4 linked regions of the Arabidopsis thaliana genome follow. The protein of the gene in region 1 interacts with the protein of each later gene in a pairwise test. Each region holds a gene or a part of one and is shown in the gene's direction. Other genes may lie near its edges.

Region 1 (5,648 bases):
GCGCGTAGGGTAAAAGAGAGAGACTTAGACCACTGGGCCAAGTCGAGATTGTTTGTATAAAGAGTTATTTAATCATAGTTATACGGGTGAATCTAAAAAAAATCTATAAAATGCAGCGTGCAGCGGAAAGAATAGGACATTGTTTCCATTGGAAAATTTTCAAAGGAAATTAAATCATGGGAAAGCAGAAGAAAAGATGGAAGAAGAAGCAGAATGGTAACCCTAGATTTAGTGCCGGTCCGAGGATATTTGATGCTTAAAGCAAATTCAAAATTGATGCCCAAATATATTTTTTTCGCAAAATAAAATAATATGAAATTTATTTTGTTTAAGAAAATTGAACATAAAAATTGTTAACAAGAAAAAAAATAAATAGAAATCTCAGTTTTCTTCCTGGCGAAACATAATCCTCCTAGCTTTCGCTCCTGCAAATTCATTCATCAATTTTTGGTAATCGAGCTTCTCAACCAGTTCTTGTTATACAGATATCAGCGCCAAACCATTCAATCGCTCTTGAGACATAGTCGAACGTAGATATTTTTTTATGAGCTTTAATTTTGAAAAAGTTCTCTCCGCCAAAGCAACTGAAACCGGAATGGTGAGTAGTATACGATAAGCGATCCATGTGTTTGGATAACAGCTATCCATTATTTTCAAAAATTTCAACACTTCGACCGGCTTTGTAATCTCTTTTGGCAACACATCTTTTAAAAGTTTCAGCTCCATAAACAGATCTTCTCCATCAACATCTGAATGCACATCATGCTTCAAAGAAGCTTCAAGCTTCATACACGATGTCCTTAACTCATCATCTTCTGCTACCTTCAATCTCTTTACACCAAACAAAAATCCAAATATTTGTTCATATACTTGGAATTGCTCGAATCTTATCTCAATACACATTATAGCTTGATCCATTATATTGATGAAGTAATCAATTCTAAAACTCTCCTCTGCAATCTTACTTTCATCAATCTTCTCAACATCCTCAACAAATTGCTTTTTTTTTTTCACCGACTTTTTTGGAAATACCGGCGCAATCTTCATCTCAATGGCAATTTGTGTAGATTCAACTTTGGCTTTCTCGAAACCTGTTTCTTTGTAGTTTTTCAAATAAGTAACAAGCCCTCCTAACTGAGAAATAGCAACCTCAAGATCCATATCCTCAAACTGTAAGGATTTGCTTACTATATTCACAGCAGCTAGCAAATCGTACCAAATTATCATTCCAAATAAAAATTCAAACCCTCCAATTCCATGTGTTTCACTCTCTGTAAGAGACTCAACATCACTCCGGTGTCCTGGATTATCAGTGTATTCTGCCAAATAAAAAAGTGCATCTTGTATCTGTATCTTTGAAGCTTAATATCTTATTGGTTTAAGACTATCAATGCGGCTTTCCCAACGCGTTTGAGACAACGGTTTAAGTGTAATACCATTCACTGTTTCTCTAAACACTTCCCAATTGTTGGTTGAAGCTTCAAACAGACAATGTATTCGCTGAACAATTCCAAAAAAAGAAACAGCTTTCTTGGATGATGAAGCCATATCACAAAGTGCAAGGTTAAGACCATGGCATCCACATGGAGTGTAAAATGCTCTTGGATTTATATCAAGCAACCTTTTCTGAACTCCTTTATGTTTTCTCTTCATATTTTGTCAGTTGTCGTATGCTTGTCATCTTACATCATCAATATTCAACTTAAGATCAATCAATGCATCTTGAAGAGTCTTAAAAAGCCCCTCACCCCTCTTATCTTTGATGTGTAGAAACGTCAAGAAGAACTCCTCAATCTTAGGTGAACACGTTGAAACATCCACACATCGAATTAAGAAGGTCATTTGTTCTTTACGACTAACATCCGGAATGGAATCAAGAATGACTGAAAAATACTTCGCATCTTTAATCTTCTTTAAGATCATCATCTTGGTATCATTAGCAAGTAATTCTGTCAATTCATTCTGACTCTTATGACTGGGAAAATGGCAATGAATTTCACCTTTATTAGCCCGCCGAATGTGTTCCTTCATATCCGAATTAAAACCTCCAATCATTCTAATAAATGCCAAAATATTTCCACTATTTGGATCATCAACATTCTCTTTAGTTCCACAAAATGCTAAATTTTGTTTAGCTAGAGTCTTTACCACTGCAATTATTCTCACCAATACATCTCTCCAATGTTTTTTCTCCTTCTTAATTGCCTATTCCATATGGTTATCAATTGTTTTACTCTTTTGTAATCTCACTTCTAGCTCCATCCAATGAGTCATGGAAATAATATGACGATGAGTTGTTTCATGTCTTTTCAGCCTTTGCGCAGCATTTTTCCAGTCATTATACCCACTACTTGCTAACAATGTAGGATTTGTTTCTTGATCGAATAATTAGAGAGAAATTCGATCCGCTGATTTTTGAGGAATATTTGAATTTTGATTCTAAAAATAAGTGAATTCGAGTTTTGGTGACAAAGCAGCGCATTTGTTAGCTGATTGTATTTTGATTATTGATGCTATATAGACATAGATTTGTGCGAAAATTGAGGAACAAGAGAGAAATTTGATCCGCTAATTTTTGAGGAAGATTTGAATTTCGATTCTAAAAATAGATGGATTAGATCTGCAGCGTTTGTTAGTTGAATGTGTTTCGATTATTGATGCTAAATATACATAGATTTGTGCCAAAATGAGGAATTAGAGAGAAATTCGATCCGCTAATTTTTGAGGAATATTTGAATTTTGTTTTTAAAAATAGATGGATTCGAGTTTTGGTAACAATCGGCGGTGTTTGTTAGTTGATTGTGTTTTAATTATTGATGCTAAATAGACATAGATTTGTGTAAAAATTGAGGAACTGAGAGAAATTTGATTTGCTAATTTTTGAGGAATATTTGAATTTTAATTCCAAAAATAGATGGATTCGAGTTTTGATAACAATTCGCAGCGTTTGTTAGTTGACCATGTTTCGATTAATTATACTAAATCGACATAGATTTGTGGAAAATTGAGGAAATAGAGAGAAATTCGATCCGCTAATCTTATATGAATATTTGAATTTCGTTCCAAAAATAGATTATTTAGAGTTTTGGTAACAATCAACGGCGTTTGTTAGGTGATTGTGTTTTTATTATTGATGTTATATAAACATAGATATTTTGATCGGAGTTTTGATCGGCGACGATGGAGAGAAACGTCGAGAAGATGCTGAAGAGAGTATCAATAGTGTTCTTAAGCATCGGAACAGTATTAATGGTAATTATGATTCTCCAGACACCAAAAACTTGTATTTCTCCAGAAGCTCCATCGAAACCTCATACGCATTTCCCGAGATCTACATGCGATTCATCGCCTCGTCAGCATCTTCCTCTCCCAAAGAAGAACGCTCGAATCTGGTCCTCTGGAGCTTGGAAATCTCGTCTATACTCCTTCTCTACCTACTTCCTCCGATTTCGCGATCTCGGATTCATTCAAAATCACACCAAAGCTCTCTGTCTCTCCGCCGGAGCAGGCCATGCTCTGATGGCTCTTTCTCAGATCGGATTATCTGATGTTACCGCAGTTGAATTGGTTGATTCGATTCCTCTTGTGAAAAGAGCTGATCCTCATAACCTTCCGTTTTTCGACGGTGTCTTTGATTTTGCCTTCACTGCACATCTAGCTGAAGCTCTGTTTCCGTGGCAGTTTGTGGAGGAGATGGAGAGGACGGTGAGACGTGGCGGATTTTGTGTGGTTTCGGTTGATGAATGTGGTGGAGATGATGTAAGAGACATTGCTAGGCTTTTTCATAACTCCAAGGTCGTTGATGTTGCTAATGTAACCTTAGAAGGATCCAAAAAGACTAGTATACTATTCAAAGTTCAAGACTCTCCTACCTGAGGTGTTTTATTTCTCTTTTGATTTATAGGCCCTTTCCGGATTCTCAGAAAACTGCTTCAATATTCATAGAGTGGAGCTAGATTTGTTTCTGTTGAAATTCACTTACATGTTTGAAAAGCAGGAGATTTAACAGATTATGTGGTAACATTGTTCAAAGACCATGACCATATTTGTTCTGGATCCTAAAGCAATGTTTTGTTGAGGGAAGCTGCGATGTTTGTTGCGAGTTCAAGATCCAGAACAAAAGCTTTCTACAGGTTAATATCTTTTTTTTTGGAAGTTGGTCTCTGAGCTAAACAATTCTTAGGAACCTTGGTCGCTTTTGAAACAAGTAAAGAACTTTCAACAGCTTTTGAAGACTTTAGTGTGTGATGAAAGAAAGTACTTTCTTTCCAGGTGAGGTTCACGTTTCAATCTGTTAGAGCTCTCCTGTGTACTATTTGTGAGTTAAGTAAAATACTCTTTAGTCATTTTGTATACTTAGAAAGAACAAAATTCTTATTGGTGAATAAAAGGCTCTTACTAAAAAAAAAAAAAAAAAAAAAAAAAAATTTTCTCTCAAGCAAGATAACCAAGGTAGCCGCAAGCCTTGTTCGTGATTAGTTCTCTTCACCGGCGTTGCTCCTCTGACTGCCTGCGTTCCTGATTGTAGCTACTACTAAAGTGAGATCTCTCCAATGAATCTACTTTTCCGGTGGCGTAATTGTTTTCCGGCGAGTCTTTCACTTGAAATGACTTTCCTTTTTCTCTCGAATGCGAGCCACTCTCGTCGCTTACCGTCGTCTTCGGTCGCCTTCCTCCTTCTGAGGCCACCTTGTGCACCACCACCAGAGCCTCCATCTCCGCCGACTCCACCGGAACCACCGGATCCACCAGATTCTCAGATCTGCTTCACTTTTGCTGATTCTTATGCTCAGTCGTTGAGCTCCTCTTCCCTCCCAGATTTGGTCTCGCTCATTCTCCATATCTCCTCCGCCATATCTGAATCTCCGTCACCGACCTCTTCGATCACTGATTTTTTCATTGATGTTTTCCTTCTCGCCGACGACACCACTTTTCTTCCTCAGTATTTCCCTCAGGTTTGCTCTTACTCTTCGCCGTATGTTTCTTCTAAGATTGGAAGGGTTTGGTTGTTGATAGAGTTTGTGGCTCTGGTTTTGTGGAATTTGGGTTTGTGTAATTCATATGTAGCTTATCTAGTTTCGATTGGCTTGGATACTTTTGTGCTCTCTTGTAGCACCTCTATCGCTTTGATGCGATCACTTACCACAATATGTGGATGTCTTAATTCGCCTTTGTTAAAAGTTGTCTCATCGCAGCTTAGACAGAATGTTTTGGATACTTTTGTGCTCTCTTGTAATACCTCTATCGCTTTAATGCGATCTTTTACTGCAGTATGCGGATTCTATCTCGATTTGTTTTTGTTAAAAGTTGTCTCTTCGCAGCTTAGACGGAGGGCTTTGATTTCAGACAACCTACCAGTTTTTCTGGTTCATTGGGGATTTCATAGCCCTCATCTCTCCTTTATGGAGCTTTTTATCCTCTCAAATACTTCACTTGTGTTTAGTGATAAAGTTACAGGGAGCATTGTGTGCAATACTGATCTGCTTGAAGTAGAAGCGAGGATTGTTGTTCAAGACTGTTCTCATTCAGCCTTTGCCGATTGTTTGACGTTAGTGTCATTGGAGGCTTTGTTTCCTCCTTATTGTGGTTTCGACAAGGTCTTCCAAGCTAAAGGTGTTTGCTTTTTTGGATGCTCTTGGTTAGTTGCT
Region 2 (7,204 bases), on another chromosome or scaffold:
CAATGAAAAAATGATTAACGGGCAAGAGTAACCTTCTCAAAATAAGGCAGTTTGAGTTTTCAAAATTTATTCACACGATGCCAAGATTTATTAACACATTTTTCACAATAAAATCATGTATGATTAATCATACGCTGGATGGTAAAGAAAAAGCGTATGATTAATTGTTTTCTCAAAGGCGTCACATCTAATACATCATGTATCACAGTTTATACCTTTTCCGCATTCACTTCTACCATATCTTAAATCTTAAATATTTTCTTTGTTTTTGTGTTGTTTTTTGGGTTGAAAAATTAATTGAGACATCATTGTAAAGGTTTGGTTCTAAATTTTATCTTTATATTTCTTAGATTGTTCTCATATTATTTTATCTATGACGAATTACTAGATTATACTTATCATTCATTTTCATATTTTAGTTCCAAACTAAATGAAAATTTTGATGGTTATATTTTTATGTTTTTAATTCAAAATTACATATGTATAATGAAAATTACATTTTTGCATATTTAACGATGGAGTTTTGAAAATATCAATTCCCACCATTTCACAAGAAGAAAATCAAATTCGGAAGATCCATCTCCATTTTCTACATGAAATAAATTATTATAATATCATATATAATATTTTTGTAAAATTTCTTACATACTTCTTTCTAATCTCAAATAATGTTTTGTCCAACAAATTACATCAAATGGTTTACAAGATATATGTATCCTCTCTTAGGAAACTGACAACTAAACTAGAAATATTTTAGGAAGATATGCAAAACTACCATTTCTTACTACTCTTTTGCAACAATACACTTTTATGTTATCCATTTTAAAAAATACCACTCATCTGAACAGAATGACCAAATAACCCTTATCTAATAAAAACATGTAACTGGAACTGAAATTTTCCCACCAAATTTTTAGTGCCAAAATTTACTTTTCCCGCCAAAACAAAATTCCGCCAAACTTTTTTCCTGCCAAAAAGAAAATTTCCCGCCAAAATGTTTTTCCCGTAACAAATTTTTTCTCAACCAAAATAATCCTTTTAAAAATCCTTAGAAAGTTTTTTAAAAGCTTTGATAGTTATTAAAAACCCTTATAAATCATTTTAAAATCTTTATAAAGTCTTTAAAAACATATGTAAATACTTTAAAAATCCCTTTTAAACCTTTGTGAATCATTTTAAACCTTTTACAATAGTTTTAAAAGGATTTACAAGGATTTACAATGATTTTTAAACCTTTGTAAATCCTTTTAAAATCTTCTTAAAACTCTTATAAAGTCTTCACAATCATTTTTTAACTCTTAGAAACAAATTTGTTAGTATTTTAAAACATTTATTATTCTTTTTGAACCATTTTAAAACTCTTGTGAACCTTTACAAAAGGTTTTAAAAAAACTTACAAGAGTTTTTAAAGGATTTTAAAACTCTTGTAAATATTTTAATTTTTTTTTAAACTATTGTAAATCCTTTAAAACCCTTGTAAACCCTTGTAAACCATTTAAAAATCTTTTTAAAACTCTTGTAAACCCTTTTAATAATTTTGAACCATTTTAAACTCTTGTGAACCTTTACAAAAGGTTTTAAAAAGATTTATAAGAGTTTTTAAAGAGTTTTCTTTTAAATTCTTTAAAAATCTTTTAAAAACCCTTGTAAATATTTTAAACGCCTTAAAAATTCCTTGTAAATCTTTTAAAACACTTTTAAACCCTTTAAAAATCTTTTAAAACCCTTTAAAAATCCCTTGTAAATATTTTAAAACCCTTTTAAACCCTTTAAAGATCTTTTAAAATCCCTTGTAAATCTATTTCCAGCCAAAAAAATATTTTTGCGGGAAAAATGTTTTTGAGAAAAAAACTTTGATGGAAATTTTTTTTTCGAAATTTTTTGGTGGGAAATTTATTTTGGAATATTTTAGGCGAAAAAATATTAATATTTCATTTTGTTAACCTAAAACAATTTCGAAATATGAGTAAAATGGTCATTAAAAATTTAAAGAGGTATAAATGAAAATGGCAAATAAGAAAAGGTAGAATTGAAAAGGGGTAGTGTGGAAAGGACATTCTGAGCAATTATTCAATATTGTATGACTACTAAATTCTCATATGCAAATGTGAAATCAAATTTGTATTCAATCACTTGTTTATATAATGTCTGGTTCTTTAGATATTAGCTCACTTCAGGTAAGAAAACAAAATGTGGTAGCCTCATTACTTCATTAGTGCAAAGAAAGTGATTCTTTGGGATAAATTTGGATAATTTTGAATCAAAGCTGTAGTAGGACAATACACTTTTATAGTATTTTTTATTAAAGGGAAAACTCAACATCTAAAGGCAAGGAATATCCAACAGTTTGAACGCTAAACAATCAAGGGACAAGCAGAGCGTTTTCTAAATAAAGTTGCCGTTCTTTGAGAGCCGAGCTCGAACCGTAATCTGGCTTCATCACACACATAGTTCATCTTCCCGGTCGTCCCATCTCTGCAATCAGGAAAATGCAACCTCGATCCAAACCTCATATCACCTCTTTCCTTAATATTCTCCATAATATCTTTCACAATCACACCATCCATATCTCCTTCAGAGGCAATCGATGTAACCTTAAGCAGCTTAGGCCACCACGGTTTGATATTGTAACTAAATACTCACAAGAGTTAATCTATGTTAGTTTTCGAAACAAAAGAAATATGTGAACAAAACTAACAACCAAGGAGTGAAATCTTTTGAGTCCACATGCAATATGTGATACAACGAGGATTCATCCCTCTCAGTATAGACTAGTTATTCTGAAACATAGCTTCCTCACTACCGCAAGAATCCCATGATACAACAACTACGCTCTTACAACAATGGTTAATTTGATCACGATTCAATAATCATCTACCATGATTCACTCTCTTTTTGGTTAAAGTTCAAAGTAATATTTTCGCATTTCTTTGATATAAAACGATGTCGATTATTTGGTTCATGACTTTTTATTTCTCTTAGTTTCACAACAACTTCGCTCTCACAACAATGGTTAATTTGAGCACTAACCAATGACCAATTGACCATGCATGATTCACTCTCCTTTTGGTTAAGTTCAGACAGTGTAAAAGCTTTTCTTGTTACAAAATGCTGTCGATTTTTTGGTTCATCAATTTTATTAATTTCTTTTGCACTTTCACCAACACCTAATATTAAAAAGAAAATAAAAACAAGATCCACCAATTCAATGCGATAGGGTAAGTGACTAAATGTTCATTGCCGTTGTCACCCTTTGAACCCAATTTAGGACTCAAAGAGCCGTCTGATTATATTTAACCTTGGTCGAAGTATTTCTAACGAGCTGGTAAGTCCTCATTGGTCCATTATATTCACTGTCCACAATAATTTTAATTACTTGTACGACTCGGTTAACTCCTTCTAGGAAAAACTAAAGTGTACCTACCTAGTACATACGTACTTCTTCATATTACCACAAGTTTTTTTTTTTTTTTCTTGCATTCAACTACGTGTTTAAAGTTTCGGCCCCAAACTTCGGCCCAAAAACAAAAACCAAATAAACTATTACAAAAATCTTTGTTATCATATCACACTATCATTTCAAGTTTTCAACCAATCCATACTCTTAACAATCCCATTAAATTGAGATTTATTCATATTAAGAAATTATGCTGATAATATTTAACTACCAAATTAGGCCGATTCATACCAAAACTATAGAATATGTACTAAATAATTCCATTACCTTCGTTTAGTCATTTTTGGCGGTTTATTTCTTTTGGATAGATCTCATGTCAGACCTTTTTAGACTATTCATTATGGCACCTACCACACTAGTGTGTCTCCATCTTCTGTATTTATATACATATATCATAAGTCAGAACAAAGAGAAAGCAAAGAAGAGAAACTAAAACAGAGCTTTTTTCACATGGGAAAGGATAAGACTTTGCCGTTGCTTGACCCTCGTGAGCCACCGGAACTCACCGGAACCAAGTCGGCGTCAAAAGTATGGGCCAAAGAGTTCGGCGAAGAGTCGAAGCGGCTTTGGGAGTTAGCAGGACCAGCGATTTTCACTGCCATAAGTCAATACTCTCTTGGTGCTCTCACTCAGACTTTCTCCGGCCGTCTCGGTGAACTTGAGCTCGCCGCCGTCTCAGTTGAAAACTCTGTTATCTCCGGTCTTGCCTTCGGTGTCATGGTATGTTACGTAAACACCCTTCACACGTGTCAGGTTCTTGGTAATGGATAATGTGTTCTAATAATAGCCACAGAAATAAAAGTCAATATTTGAGGACTTTTTTTGTATTAATTAATATCAATATTCGTTAATATCAATGAAGTAGATTTTCCCATACATTTAAAATTGTTTCGTAATTGTGATTAAGTAAATCCTAACAGTGTGTTTTATATTCAAATAAAGTAGATATATTAATGTAGTTGAGTTCAGTGTTATAATATTTGTTATACAAGTAATCTCTACGAGGGTCCTTGTGTAAGCTCTCTTGAATTTTGTTGCTTGTCATTTAAGTTTCCTATGAAAAAAGCTTAGAGATCAAACAATATAAACATTTTGATGATGGAAAATGGTGGCAGTTAGGGATGGGGAGTGCATTGGAGACGTTGTGTGGACAAGCATATGGCGCGGGACAGATTAGGATGATGGGAATATATATGCAACGTTCATGGGTCATTCTCTTTACTACTGCTTTGTTTTTGCTTCCCGTCTACATTTGGGCTCCTCCTATTCTTTCCTTCTTCGGCGAGGCTCCTCACATCTCTAAAGCCGCGGGTATCATTCTTGTTATTCCTTTTTGCCAATTGGTTTTGAGTTTGGAGTCAATGTTCACGTAACAACTTCTGCGTTGTTATAATTTTCAGGGAAGTTCGCATTGTGGATGATCCCGCAACTATTTGCCTATGCAGCCAACTTCCCGATACAGAAATTCTTGCAGTCACAGAGGAAAGTTCTTGTGATGGCTTGGATCTCTGGAGTGGTTTTAGTTATACATGCAGTTTTTAGCTGGCTCTTCATTCTTTACTTTAAGTGGGGACTTGTAGGTGCAGCTATCACTCTCAATACCTCGTGGTGGTTGATTGTTATTGGTCAGCTTTTGTATATCTTAATCACCAAATCAGACGGTGCGTGGACTGGATTTTCTATGCTAGCGTTTCGGGACCTCTATGGATTTGTCAAACTTTCCTTAGCCTCTGCTCTTATGCTTTGGTACCTATCCAATTTTTTTTGGCTAGAAGATAGCTTTAGACTTACGTTAGCTGAGACTTCGCTTGTAATGAAAGGTTAGTTGTTTTTGTTTTGCAGTTTGGAGTTTTGGTACTTGATGGTTCTGGTTGTTGTTACCGGTCTCCTTCCTAACCCGTTGATACCAGTCGATGCCATCTCCATTTGGTAATCAATTTGTGCTGATCTTTGGTTAGTTTCTCACTGAAAATAGGTTTGTTTAGTAACATATTTTATGTTTTGGGGTTCACAGCATGAATATAGAAGGGTGGACTGCCATGATTTCGATCGGGTTTAACGCTGCGATTAGGTAAGTTCTCTACCTTTATGTTTCAGGAGCCACATTTGGAAAGCTAATAAAAATCTCATGAACTGGTGAACTTTGTCTCTTGGTGTGATCAGTGTGAGAGTATCGAATGAGCTGGGTGCAGGAAACGCAGCGTTAGCCAAATTCTCAGTGATAGTCGTCTCCATAACTTCAACTCTTATCGGGATAGTGTGCATGATTGTTGTCTTAGCCACAAAAGACAGCTTCCCTTATCTTTTCACTTCAAGCGAAGCTGTGGCAGCAGAAACCACGAGAATAGCCGTCTTGTTGGGCTTCACTGTCCTCTTGAACAGCCTCCAGCCCGTCTTGTCAGGGGTTGCGGTTGGAGCGGGGTGGCAGGCTCTGGTTGCATACGTGAACATTGCGTGTTATTACATTATCGGACTACCTGCTGGTCTTGTTCTTGGATTCACACTAGACCTCGGCGTTCAGGTTAGCTATTTACTAATATGACCATTTTGTATTAGCCTTGTTCTTTTTAATCTGGTGTTAAATCATTTGTATATTTTTGTAGGGAATATGGGGAGGTATGGTAGCTGGAATATGCTTGCAGACACTTATATTGATTGGAATCATCTACTTCACTAACTGGAACAAAGAGGTCTCTTACTTTGTCTTTTAGTTGCTGCTATGTTCCTCCTTTGTGTTTGGTTTGATCATTTCATTAATTAGCTTTGAATTCTAAATTATGCAGGCTGAGCAAGCGGAGAGTCGAGTTCAGAGATGGGGAGGAACGGCGCAGGAGTGATCAACAACTCCCTTAGGACGTGGACTATATCAGTTATTGATCTTTTTTTGTCAATGTTCAATGTTGAGAAAATTGTTTATCGGAGAACAACATCATCTCTTTTTGTTTTTTGATATGCTTAAAGTTAACGAGTCTCTCAGTGATTGTTAGAGGGGTACGGTTTGTTATGTGTTAGACTTATGTTAGATTCTAGGATGGTTGTTGCTAAGCCAAAGTTCTTGATTAATTTTAAGTATGAGATTTAATCTTCATAAGCTTGTTGATCCTTCGTTTTTATTTTAATGGTCAGACTTGATCCAATGTTTATGTTCATTTGAAGGCGAAGATCTTACCGTTTGTCAAACATAGCTAATTAGTGGTGGTATTAGCAACAGATCTTTAGGACTGTCGTTGATCTGTTGCAACTCAGTCACTAAAAATTAACAAATCTTATATAAACAAGAGGAATATTAAAAAGAAAAAAAGAAGATGAAAATGAATATCAAAATAGTTGTGTGACGATACAATATATTAGAGATGGACTACAACAATTCATGAATCAGGGTCACAGACTAACCGTTAAAGCAGTAAATTTGTCTGCCCATCTCATAAGTGTTTGAATTAAAATTTAGGTCAGTCGAGAGCTGTGTGCTATATACTAGATAGTCTACCCTTAATTACTATGTTTGGTTTTCGCATGGAGATTTACTATAAATACACAAACAAGTAATAGTGCTCAAATTGTGAATCAACCCATGCACTAATCCTTTTCATCAATTCGGTCACGGTTAGGATAATGGATTCCGTAATATGGTAACAAATGCATTTTCTGAAATATCAAACTAACATCATTTAATGATTATATTGTTTGATACATTTTATGATATATCAAACTCTGTAAATCAACCAATATATATACAATTACAGTCTA
Region 3 (6,557 bases), on another chromosome or scaffold:
AACAACAAAAATGAAATTAAAAAGACTTTTCACGATAGCAACATGCCAACATCTAATAATGGCGGGAAGCAACTTACATAACTGGTCAGTTTGTAATGTATATAAATGTTGACGGCACTCGCTTAGTTAACTTGTGAAATGGTTAACGAGGGAAAAGTATTATAATCGTTGCTTAGGGAAAACTATTTAGAACAATTCCGCATTAGTCTTTTGGACTTATCCAACAAATAATTGATATTGACAAATTAACATTATAATCTCCATTAGCTTATTTTAACCCTACGGTTGGCTTCTAAGAACAACTCTAATTTGAACATTTCTTTGAGTGACTTTTCAGTGTCGGCGTTTCACATGGATGTCTTTATCTGCAACCTCAAAGAAAAAGTTTCGATTATAATTGTTAGAAGTTTTTATTATACTCTGAACTTTTTTTGTAACTTTTAGATATAAAAAAAACATATATATGGGGCTTATCTTATACATTACTAACTAAATGCATCTGGGCCTGGGCCTGATTCTGGGCTTAGCCATAACTGGATTATTTTCCTTTTTTTTTTTTTTTCTGAAATCAATGATATATCCATCAACCAAAAGAAAAACATTCAGAAATTTCTTTCAAAATCTCTTAAGCTAGTTTTCTTGTGGTCCAGAAAAAAAATTGGTTTCTTTTTACTGAAATTTAAACCTTGAGAAGTTTTGAATCAACAAAATATGGATTTTGACCAGTTGCCATACTATAGGCTTTTCTTTTCTGTATGCTTTCCGAATTGTTCATAGTATTAGTCTATAATACTTCTTATTGGAAAATATGTCGAGATTTTGAACTAAAAATTGACCGATCAAGATCGTTACCAAAGATATTACTTTTACAGTACTTGTATTTTATTAACTTAGCCAACTTCAATATCTATATAAGAATATGATCTTGTCATTTTATTCTGAGAATCTAATACCAAAAAGAAGTTATATGGCGTTCTTTTATGTTTCTAAACCCTATCATATCAATTTAACACATCCGAATCCAACTATAACCAGTCCTCCTAAATGTTAGAGTGTCGGGATAGAATAAAATTGAAGTGCAAGAAAATTCAAAGAAGATCGATCATGAAGCTGACTGAGACGAAAAATCAAAGGTCAAAAATTGAGAAGCTTCCTAAAGAGACAAGTGGACAAGTTTTGACCAGTTGTCCATTTGACACATGAGGACCCATCACTATCATATCACTCCTTAAAGTCGTTGCTCTCTCCCTCTTATCACTACCTTTCTTTCTCACAAATCCAGGATTCATTCATTCACGTTTTCCTACACCTCAAACAAGTTTTCAACGTCACTATAGACTATAGTGTATTTATGGAACATTTCATTTCCTAAAAATGATACAATCTATTATCAAAAGAGAAAAAATCTAACAATTTTTGGATAAGTCCACTTATTCATAAGTACTGTGACATGAAATCCTATTATTTATCTCAGCATTTAGTTTGTTTCTGCATCACGCCAAAGGAGAAAATGTCAAAAGAATCTTCCGTTTATTGCATCACAAAATTTATAAAAATTCATATGCAGAGGAATATTTTATATGTCGACCACTGAATACTTTCTGATGAAGGAACAATATTAGTTACATAACCACTAATATAACACATAGTAAATCTTAGCCTCTCATTTGTTTGTTGTCGTCAATCTCAGCCTTTCAAGCCACACTATCTAAAATGATTTTTGCTTTTGTACTTCCTGTGAAACGTTTGGATAAGTACACATCTATTCTGATATCTTTTTAGTGTTCACACAATATTAAGTTTTGGAAATGTTGCAAGAATAATACTTCTGTCACCATCCAGAACGTTTTAGTCAATTAGAGAAATGATAGTTCTCTTACAAGTTAAATTTAGTTATATGAAGTTTAACCAAAAAAGTTTTGTTGACCAAAAAAGAAAGCTTTACCATGGTTCAAAAGTTCTGGAAATAAAACCAAACAAAGCCGAAGAGAAACACGTTTCTAGAACTCCAGTCTCAGAATCACAAACTTGAATTTGTGTGTCTTAACCATATGACTCATAAGATTGAATTTACTTCATTTAATTTAACTAAACAAAAATGATCAACAACATCTCACTCATTGACCATTGACCACTAGAAGTCACATGCAGACAAACTGGATTAATGCATCAGTCAAAATCAAAGTGTGGTTTTTTTTTGTATATACACTTCCTCCTTATAAAACCAATTAATCATAGAATGAAATTAACTTCTATTTAATTCAAGCTTATATAATCTTGATTAATACTTCACCAACCACTGACATATTATTCAAATCTCACAAAGCGTGGCCTCAAAGAAACACTACCACGACTTTTTTTTCTTATCCTTCTCTTCACCTCTTTTAATAACTTCAATTTCTATCTTCAATCTTTTCCTCTTTCGTTTAACAAAACAGAGTAAAACTAAACCGGATTAAACCGGAAGCAGCCATGTTCGTCAAGCTCAAGCTCATCTTCTTCTTCTTCCTACTCTGTCAAATTATGATTTCTTCCTCTCAAAATCTCAACTTCACCTACAATGGTTTCCATCCTCCATTAACAGATATCTCACTCCAAGGTCTCGCAACAGTAACACCCAATGGTCTCTTGAAGCTTACCAACACATCGGTACAAAAAACCGGTCACGCCTTCTGTACTGAACGAATCCGGTTCAAAGATTCCCAAAACGGCAACGTATCATCCTTCTCCACAACCTTCGTCTTCGCGATACATTCTCAGATCCCAACACTAAGCGGCCATGGAATCGCCTTCGTTGTAGCTCCAACGCTAGGTCTTCCTTTTGCACTTCCTAGTCAATACATCGGTCTCTTCAACATCTCTAACAATGGTAACGACACGAATCACATCTTTGCCGTCGAATTCGATACAATCCAGAGTAGCGAGTTTGGAGATCCAAACGATAATCACGTCGGAATCGATCTCAACGGTTTACGATCGGCGAATTACTCGACGGCGGGATATAGGGATGATCACGATAAGTTTCAGAATCTGAGTTTGATTAGTCGCAAACGGATCCAAGTTTGGATCGATTACGATAATCGTAGTCATCGAATTGATGTCACCGTGGCTCCGTTTGATTCTGATAAACCTAGAAAACCTCTAGTTTCGTATGTGAGAGATCTTTCTTCGATTCTTCTAGAAGATATGTATGTAGGTTTCTCATCTGCGACTGGTTCAGTTCTCTCGGAGCATTTCTTAGTCGGATGGAGTTTCCGGTTAAACGGAGAAGCTCCGATGCTCTCGTTATCGAAACTCCCGAAGCTTCCTCGATTTGAGCCTAGAAGAATCTCTGAATTCTACAAAATCGGTATGCCTTTGATTTCACTATCTCTGATCTTCTCTATCATCTTCCTCGCTTTCTACATCGTGAGGAGGAAGAAGAAGTACGAGGAAGAGCTTGATGATTGGGAAACAGAGTTTGGGAAGAATCGATTCAGATTCAAGGAGCTCTATCACGCGACCAAAGGTTTTAAGGAGAAGGATCTTCTCGGCTCCGGTGGATTTGGGAGAGTTTACAGAGGCATTTTACCAACGACGAAGCTTGAAGTCGCTGTGAAGAGAGTCTCACATGATTCAAAACAAGGTATGAAAGAGTTTGTGGCGGAGATTGTGAGTATTGGTAGGATGAGTCACCGGAATTTAGTTCCTCTCTTGGGTTACTGTCGCCGGAGAGGAGAGCTTCTTTTGGTTTACGATTACATGCCTAATGGGAGCTTAGATAAGTATCTTTACAACAATCCGGAGACTACCTTAGATTGGAAACAAAGATCTACGATTATCAAAGGAGTTGCTTCAGGATTGTTCTATCTTCATGAGGAATGGGAACAAGTTGTGATTCACCGTGACGTGAAAGCTAGCAATGTTCTGTTAGATGCTGATTTCAATGGTAGACTCGGTGATTTTGGGTTGGCTCGGTTGTATGATCACGGCTCGGATCCTCAGACCACTCACGTTGTTGGAACATTGGGTTACTTAGCACCTGAACATTCCCGGACTGGACGTGCCACTACCACGACTGATGTCTATGCGTTTGGTGCGTTTCTTTTAGAAGTTGTTTCCGGTAGACGACCCATCGAGTTCCATAGTGCAAGCGATGATACGTTCTTGCTTGTGGAATGGGTTTTCAGTTTGTGGCTCAGAGGTAACATAATGGAAGCGAAAGATCCGAAGCTCGGTTCTTCAGGTTATGATCTTGAAGAGGTTGAAATGGTATTGAAACTCGGTCTGTTGTGTTCGCATTCAGACCCTCGGGCTAGACCAAGTATGAGGCAGGTCTTACAATATCTAAGAGGAGACATGGCACTGCCTGAATTAACGCCCTTGGATTTGTCGGCGGGGAGCGTGATGAATCTGGGAGGCCGGGACGGTTTTAGCGGTATTGCAATGACTGATTTTTCCACTGTGTTTAAAGGGTTTACCGGCGGATCTTCCATTGCTGACTCTCTACTCTCCGGTGGGAGGTGATGTTTGATGTTCCAACTCTAGCAATGTTTTATGTTTATAGTTTTTTTAAAAAAGGTTTACTAATACGGATCATGTACATACATTTTTGCCTTTGTATGGAATATATAATTGAGTTTTTTGTGATATCTTATAAGAATTTATAGAGTATGAAGATTATGATTGCGATAGTGGATTCAGTATCAAGAACAGTCTCGCAAGTATTATTCATGACTTAAACATAATAACGGTACACTATGATATTGGCAAAGTGAACGGAGAAGTTGTAGAACTTGAAGTCCATGAGTGTAGATTTGTATTACAGAAACAGAACACAGATAATCTCTTTAATAGCGTCTTGTTGTCGCTCAGATATACATAAACAAGAGCTAGAGAAATTCTAAAGCAAAGCTGATTTGTTGATAACTGCAAAATCTAATAATTTGGTTGAACGAGATCACGGTGCAGGACCAAGAAGAAGTGGAACCGGGGATTCACTCGTTTCATCATGTCGTCTTGCAGCCCAAGCCCTTAGAGGAGGTTCAAAGCGGTCCCTAACCACATCAGGAGCCAGCTCGTCGTCAGAAGGGAGGTAGACCAGACCTCTTTCTCTTAGAAGGGACGGTTCATCATAACACACGGTCCAAAGACTATCCACTAGCTGTCTTTCTTCTCTAGCTGCACAAAGATCTTCGTCCGACATCACAATTATTCGTCTTGTTCTCTCCTCAAGAAGCTGTCTTAGATTCACATCCCCTCTATCAAGGTTTCTCACAGATTCTTCACGGGCAAGCTCTAGGAGACCACGAAGAGCGAATTCCCGAACTTCAAAATCTTGGTTGGATGCTAGGTGGATCATTATGCGAGGGAATCCAAGATCTCTAACGATTTTACAGTCTGAGTTGCTTTCTTGGAGAAGATAGTGAAGCAAGTTCAACGCTTTTCTGAAACAGAAAGAGTATATTGGTTACTACACTGAAAACCTGAACCGAAACAGAACCAAAACCCGGATCAATTCATCTACCTAATACATATTCTTGAGACCCTATTTACCTTTGGAATCTAACGGTATCAGAGACCAAAGCGTCTCGCAGGCCAGCATAACCATTTGCCAGACGGAATGCTGTAATCCCGGGTTGGTTGTTACGGATAAGAGCTGCAATGTCGAAAGCAAGAAAAAAACTGTCAAACTTTTGGGTTCTCAAAGCAAACTTTGCTAGAAATAGTAACTCTTACAAGATATAGCCCCGAGTGCCTTGGTCCGGACTCTAATGTCAGGATCAGCAATAAAGTTAGTTAATAATGGTTCGAACCCATTTGCTTCCATAACAAGTTGCTGGCTTCTTGGATTGTTTTGGACAACCGTAGTCAAAACATCGGCAGACTTTGCTCGAATTTTCGCATTAGAGTTCTTGAGATAGCTAAGGAGAGGAACCAAACCTCCAATGGAGTGAAGATCTAAAACATTTAAAGATCCAAATAATATATTAAAAAAAAGAACCTCGAAAAACAAAGACTAGTTATGTAAGATCAAACCATTGGCCAAATCTATCGACTCGACGTGTTCCTGCAGCTCAGCCAACATTCCTGTCAAAACAAAAGTAGATATAAGTTTATGAAATCGATCAGTATGGTTCTTTTGCATAACCGAATAATCGCCATTGGAACGAAGTAAAGAACCTTCAAGATCATCAGGTGTAACTCCTTGAGCCTCCAAGACTTGTTCAGGCATCTTCATGATTTGAGATATTACTTTCATACGAGAGATTGAATCGATTGTATGTGCTTGCATAGCTTCCACAAACCATTGTCGATCTTCCTCACTAACCAGAACACAATCAAATACTCCAAAATCACAACTCAACAAACAGTAATATCATAACTCAAAAGACGAATAGTAATATCATAACTCAACAAACAGTTTTATCATAACTTCAAGATTCATCGTCCAAATGGTTTATTGTCTCTCAGAATTAAGAATATATTCCAATAAAATAAGAACCTATTATTAGCAACTAGCAAGAGACGAATAGGTTGGTCAAAGATAACAACAAGCTTGATACAAGAATGACTAG
Region 4 (5,296 bases), 2.1 Mb from region 1:
ACTATCATTACAAGTTCTCTTGTTTAGTCGCCAATATATGAATTTTTTGACCATTAGGTTTTTTGCAGTAACTATGATGTCTTTCTAACGAGAGATTGCTTGGCTTACTCCAAGATCAAACCTGCTGTGAATCAGATCGAGACACATCCTTACTTCCAACGTGATTCTCTTGTCAAATTCTGCCAGAAACATGGTATCTGTGTCACTGCTCATACTCCTCTCGGAGGTGCCACAGCCAATGCCGAGTGGTTTGGCACCGTGTCATGCCTGGATGATCCAGTTCTCAAAGTAAGCCCCATCCTCTAAACCTTAAAAGTTTGGATTGAACCTTTGACAATTAAAAAAGGACTGCGTTTATCTGAATTCTTAGGATGTGGCCGAGAAGTACAAAAAGACAGTGGCACAAGTTGTCCTGAGGTGGGGAATCCAGAGAAAAACGGTGGTGATACCAAAGACATCAAAGCCTGCGAGATTGGAAGAGAACTTTCAGGTTTTCGACTTCGAACTATCGAAAGAGGACATGGAAGTGATCAAAAGCATGGAGAGGAAATACCGCACGAACCAACCAGCCAAGTTTTGGAACATTGATCTCTACGCTTGATCACACTCTCTCTATCTACATGAATAAATGAAGCTTAAGAAGATAAACAACGAGAAGAAGCCATAGCTTTACCTGAAACATTCTCAAATGTTTGTGAGCCTATCTTTCATACATAAACTCATGTTGTTAAACAGATTATGATTTCTTAAGTACTACAATATCACACATTGATGGAAAGTGATATAGATTTCTCTCTTCTCTATTTATATGCTTAAATCCACAATGAATCATTATTGTAACTGAAAGAGGATATTTAAAAAGACGAGTATACCCTTGATTTCTCTTGTTTAGTAGTAGAGAAGAGGGTAATTTGGTAAATGACGAAGTAAGTACATTGAGCTTCTTCGCGGACAGAGACACTATCTCTCTCTCTCTCTACCCTTTGGATCTTTCTTCTCGATCAATTATCCATTTTGCCCAGATTTTTTCCAGAAGCTCATCGAATTCGTAAGCTTTCGCGCCTTTTCCTCTCTTTAATTTATTTGTTAATCAATTTTGAATGTGTTGTATCTCTAGGGTTTATAATTTCAGTTTCACCCTTGTTTTCTATTGTTTCGCGGAATAATCTCTTGTCATGGAAGGTTTAGATTGATTCGACCTTTTTGATCTTGACCTAATTTATTCCAATTTTCGTAAAATTGTTCCTTAAGACCTGTTTCTCTGACTAGCTCAGATTGATTTTGGTATCTGAATCAATTGCGGAACCCTAACTGGCAGATCAATTCGAGAAGTTTTGATTTTGTTTGAAGATAGTGAATTGCGAGTTCAGTGTGCTAATATCTGCTTGTAATTCTTACTCTTCAATTGTTTTCATAGATCGAATCACAATGTTTGAAATTTGGTTTCACTGTTGCTGAGTGTGTTTGGAGGAGAAGCTTGATTGGTTCGGTGTTTCACTGTTTGAAGATTATAAGAGTTATGGAGAATGGTGGTCAGTATGATAATGCGCGGTTCAAGCCCGATTACTTCAAAGGTGCACAATCTATGGTAAGACTTAAGATTTTTGGTTTCCTAAAGATATGTTTTTGTTAGTGTGATTGAAGTTATATAAGCAAAGAATGTTTGTTACAGTGGAATATGATTCCCCAGCATCAGATTAAGGAACAACATAATGCGTTGGTGATGAATAAGAAGATCATGTCCATCCTTGCTGAGAGAGACGCTGCTGTACATGAAAGAAATCAAGCTGTCTCTGCTAAAAAGGAAGCTGTCGCTGCTCGGGACGAAGCGCTTCAGCAACGTGACAAAGCTCTTTCTGAGAGAGATAAAGCTTTGATAGAGAGAGATAATGCTTATGCTGCTCTTCAACACCATGAAAATAGTCTCAACTTTGCTTTGTCTGGTGGGAAGTGTGTTGATGGAGATGATTGTTTTGGTATTGGGGAACCCCACAAACTTGAAGTCTTCCCTTTGTCAACTATTCCGCCTGAGGTTACAAACACGAAGGTGGTGAACAAAAGGAAGAAAGAGAACAAGCAGGGACTATCAAAGGTGAAAAAAGTGGGTGAAGATCTGAACCGTCGAGTTCCTGCTCCTGGAAAGAAATCTAGAACAGATTGGGACAGTCAAGATGTCGGTTTGAACTTAGTCACCTTCGATGAGACGACAATGCCTGTACCCATGTGTTCGTGCACAGGCTCTACGCGTCAGTGTTACAAATGGGGAAATGGCGGCTGGCAATCGTCTTGCTGCACAACCACCTTATCCCAGTATCCATTACCGCAGATGCCAAACAAGAGGCATTCTCGGATGGGCGGTAGGAAAATGAGCGGAAACGTTTTCTCGAGATTACTCAGCCGTTTATCAGCAGAAGGATATGATCTCTCGTGTCCTGTTGATCTTAAAGACTATTGGGCTAGGCACGGGACAAACCGCTACATCACTATCAAGTAGCCTCTGTTGTTTACACAGTCCAAGTATGTTTCTCTCGTCTTCTTAAGATTAGGTGTTGTCTTTGTCTTTATTGTCCATAGTTTGTTCTTTGTTGTGTATGGTAAAACCATTGTTATGTGTATCTTTTGGATGGGCAAAAATGGTTTGCATAAAAAATCTGTGTTTTGACCTCAAAAAATAAAATAAAATCGTAACAGTTAAAAATCAAAATCTGTTACCCCTTTGATAGCAAAATCTGTTACCCCTTTTTTCTTTCACTTGTTAGTTTCTTTTTATACCGAGAGGAGAGAACAAAAAATAAAACACAAAGTAAGCATAAACAACAACAAAATGATGGAGAAAGCCACAGTGGCGCATGTGGAGACGCATCAACGGTCACAAGAGATATGGTTTCTTGGCGCCGCAAGAGCCTTCTTGCAAATTCCGAATCCGGGGATTGTCAAAGTTTTTGTCCTAAGCAGCTTGACTACATTCACCTCAGGAATGGCTTTAGTCATTGAGTGGATCTGTCACGGAAAGAGTCACACGGGATTCGGGTGGATCATCTACTATGCATTGTTCTTGATGTGTCTTCCTCTTGTCATCTTGATCGGTCTTCATATTCTCGTCAGGCGCGGCTCAGATCAGATTGTGGATTCAACTCCAAGCAAAGAACCGTGTGTGGTGCAGAATCAGAGTACCGAGACGACTAAACGAACTGAAGAAACGGTGAAAAACAGCTGCCAAAGTTTAGCCGTTGTGGTTGCTCCGGATGACAAGAAGATGCCGAGGATAAAACGCGCAGTGTCATTCCCGTCTCACGGCGAAGTAAGATCATGTCGAACTCGTTAGCAAATTAAAACTTAGTGTGGTTCATTCAAAAAAATAACTTTGATGTGGTTAGCTATCAGATCGATTCAAGAATCTAATAATCTCTTTTGTGATATGTTTGTTATTCAGCATTTTATCTTTTCCAATAATCCAACGACCAATGATCTTCAAAAATTCGAATTACATCTTTCTTTCTTTTTTCCCCTCTTATGAGCTGAGTTCAATATATATATATATATATATATATATATATATATATATATATATATATATTGATGTACTATATATTGTTAGTTAAAAGCAAAAGATGAAAAAGTCTTACAATGGGTTTTGGTTTTTCTTTGAAATTTTGTAACAACCCAAGTAAAATACTAGATCCTCTGTTTTTTAGGGAAAGTATTTTTTGCAAAATTTTGAATTGCTATAAAGTAGAGTTTTGGAAAAACTAAAATAAAAAATCTTTACATTCAAGGTAAAAATCTCTACTTCTTTGAAATAATGCCACGTGTCAGTTCAGCGAGGAATAATATGTGTGAGTCTCATGGGTTGTTTGAGTCAATTTCGTTACCGGTTCTACAATAAGAAGTTACTTTGGCCCAAATAGAAAGAAATTTTACTTATCAAGTGGCCGAAAGGTGGCCCCAAAAAAACAAGGAAGTAAATCTACTAATGTACATTTGTCGCTACATAATTGGTCTAAGATAAATTACTTATATAGAATACTGTTATGGTGATTTACCCAATTTTTAGCCAAATGTGGTAAATTTAATTTCTAAACAAACTTACAATCATTTATAGTATCTATTAATTTATTGCTAACAACAATTATTTTTTCCAAATAAAAATACATTTTTTTTTACAAAATTTAATTTAGATTCACTGAAATATCTACAATTAAGTAATGTAATTTAATGTGGGTCCATGTAGTGCATAGAAAAGATTTACTAATTAAGTGATTGCTAAAATCAATAAATTAATAAACAAAAATAAAAATATTAGTTGATCAAAAAAAGGAGATATATGATATTTATTAATATAGCCAAAAAATAAATCTCACAATTACAATTAATCAAAGGACTACAAAAATATACAAAACTTTCTGTAAAAAATCAAACAACAATCATTTGTAAAATCCAACATTGGTAATTCTTCTAGAGATGAACCAAATGTATATCTAAATCAGAAAAAGAAAACAAACAATATTTATGTTCCTTGATCAGTCTTAAATAAACGTGGTAAAATAGTTCGATTACAACGAAATAAACGTGTCAATAACTCATTAATAAAACTGAAAAAAACGTGATAAAATAACTCACTAGAATAAATAACGCGGCAAAATAACTAACTAATGACTCGATAGCAAAACACAAACAATTTAGATTTATAAATTTTCATTGTATAACCTTACAACACAGTACAGTATAGCTTTTTATCTTAAAAATGTAAAAGCTGTTTTATAGAAAAAATAATTCAAATGTATAGATATAAAATATTTGAGACCATAAAAAGGGAAAAATCCTTAATTAAATATGAGGAGGGTGAAAAACATGAGACTTGTGTCCTTTCCTTAACCAAATATAAATAGGAGGGTCGTGCAATCTATTGAACCAGACAAAAAAAAACACCAATCATTTTCTCAGAGAGATTTCTTTTGTCAACTGTCCTTATCCATTGTTGAAGCTTGAGGTCTCCTCTCTTTTAACTCTTTATGTCTCTCTCAAGTCTCAACGTTTCAATCTTCTTCTTTTTTTTTGGTCTCCTTGTCTGCAACCTGATCAAAGTTTTCATAGAATTAATCTGAATATCACGATTTGATCATTTCAATTTTAGCTTTGGACTATTGTTAACTCTTTCCCATTTATGCATTCGATTTTTGATTTCTTCTTTAAGAAAAATAACAAAACTTCCATATGATTGCAGAAACTCCGATAACAACGATGAACGGTCGTGGAAATATGACTCAATACCAGCAGAATCCTTTCAGTACTGATG

Evidence for each region.
Region 2: the proteins of AT2G16030 (region 1) and AT1G47530 interact in a protein complementation assay, tested with the Arabidopsis thaliana proteins (one large-scale study listed by BioGRID).
Region 3: the proteins of AT2G16030 (region 1) and AT3G53810 interact in a protein complementation assay, tested with the Arabidopsis thaliana proteins (one large-scale study listed by BioGRID).
Region 4: the proteins of AT2G16030 (region 1) and AT2G21237 interact in a protein complementation assay, tested with the Arabidopsis thaliana proteins (one large-scale study listed by BioGRID).

The regions. Positions count from the first base shown.
Region 1 is NC_003071.7:6,972,424-6,978,071, reverse strand, and holds AT2G16030 (S-adenosyl-L-methionine-dependent methyltransferases superfamily protein), read left to right. Parts: upstream 1-3,064; 5' UTR 3,065-3,180; coding exon 3,181-3,876; 3' UTR 3,877-4,399; downstream 4,400-5,648. Other genes in the region: AT2G16040 (hAT dimerization domain-containing protein / transposase-like protein), read right to left, coding at 478-1,319, 1,749-2,055; AT2G16020 (uncharacterized protein), read right to left, coding at 4,486-4,716; AT2G16019 (uncharacterized protein), read right to left, coding at 4,790-4,900; AT2G16018 (uncharacterized protein), read left to right, coding at 4,554-4,955, 5,452-5,493.
Region 2 is NC_003070.9:17,447,817-17,455,020, forward strand, and holds AT1G47530 (MATE efflux family protein), read left to right. Parts: upstream 1-3,736; 5' UTR 3,737-3,907; coding exon 3,908-4,177; exon of another isoform or gene 4,178-4,471; intron 4,472-4,572; coding exon 4,573-4,768; intron 4,769-4,857; coding exon 4,858-5,203; intron 5,204-5,299; coding exon 5,300-5,386; intron 5,387-5,471; coding exon 5,472-5,528; intron 5,529-5,620; coding exon 5,621-5,978; intron 5,979-6,060; coding exon 6,061-6,147; intron 6,148-6,240; coding exon 6,241-6,294; 3' UTR 6,295-6,645; downstream 6,646-7,204.
Region 3 is NC_003074.8:19,931,102-19,937,658, reverse strand, and holds AT3G53810 (Concanavalin A-like lectin protein kinase family protein), read left to right. Parts: upstream 1-2,266; 5' UTR 2,267-2,472; coding exon 2,473-4,506; 3' UTR 4,507-4,689; downstream 4,690-6,557. Other genes in the region: Fes1B, read right to left, coding at 4,940-5,426, 5,536-5,638, 5,719-5,940, 6,019-6,069, 6,163-6,305.
Region 4 is NC_003071.7:9,098,713-9,104,008, reverse strand, and holds AT2G21237 (uncharacterized protein), read left to right. Parts: upstream 1-2,793; 5' UTR 2,794-2,824; coding exon 2,825-3,325; 3' UTR 3,326-3,473; downstream 3,474-5,296. Other genes in the region: AT2G21250 (NAD(P)-linked oxidoreductase superfamily protein), read left to right, coding at 69-288, 371-601; BPC4 (basic pentacysteine 4), read left to right, coding at 1,520-1,588, 1,673-2,494; AT2G21235 (Basic-leucine zipper (bZIP) transcription factor family protein), read left to right, coding at 5,242-5,296.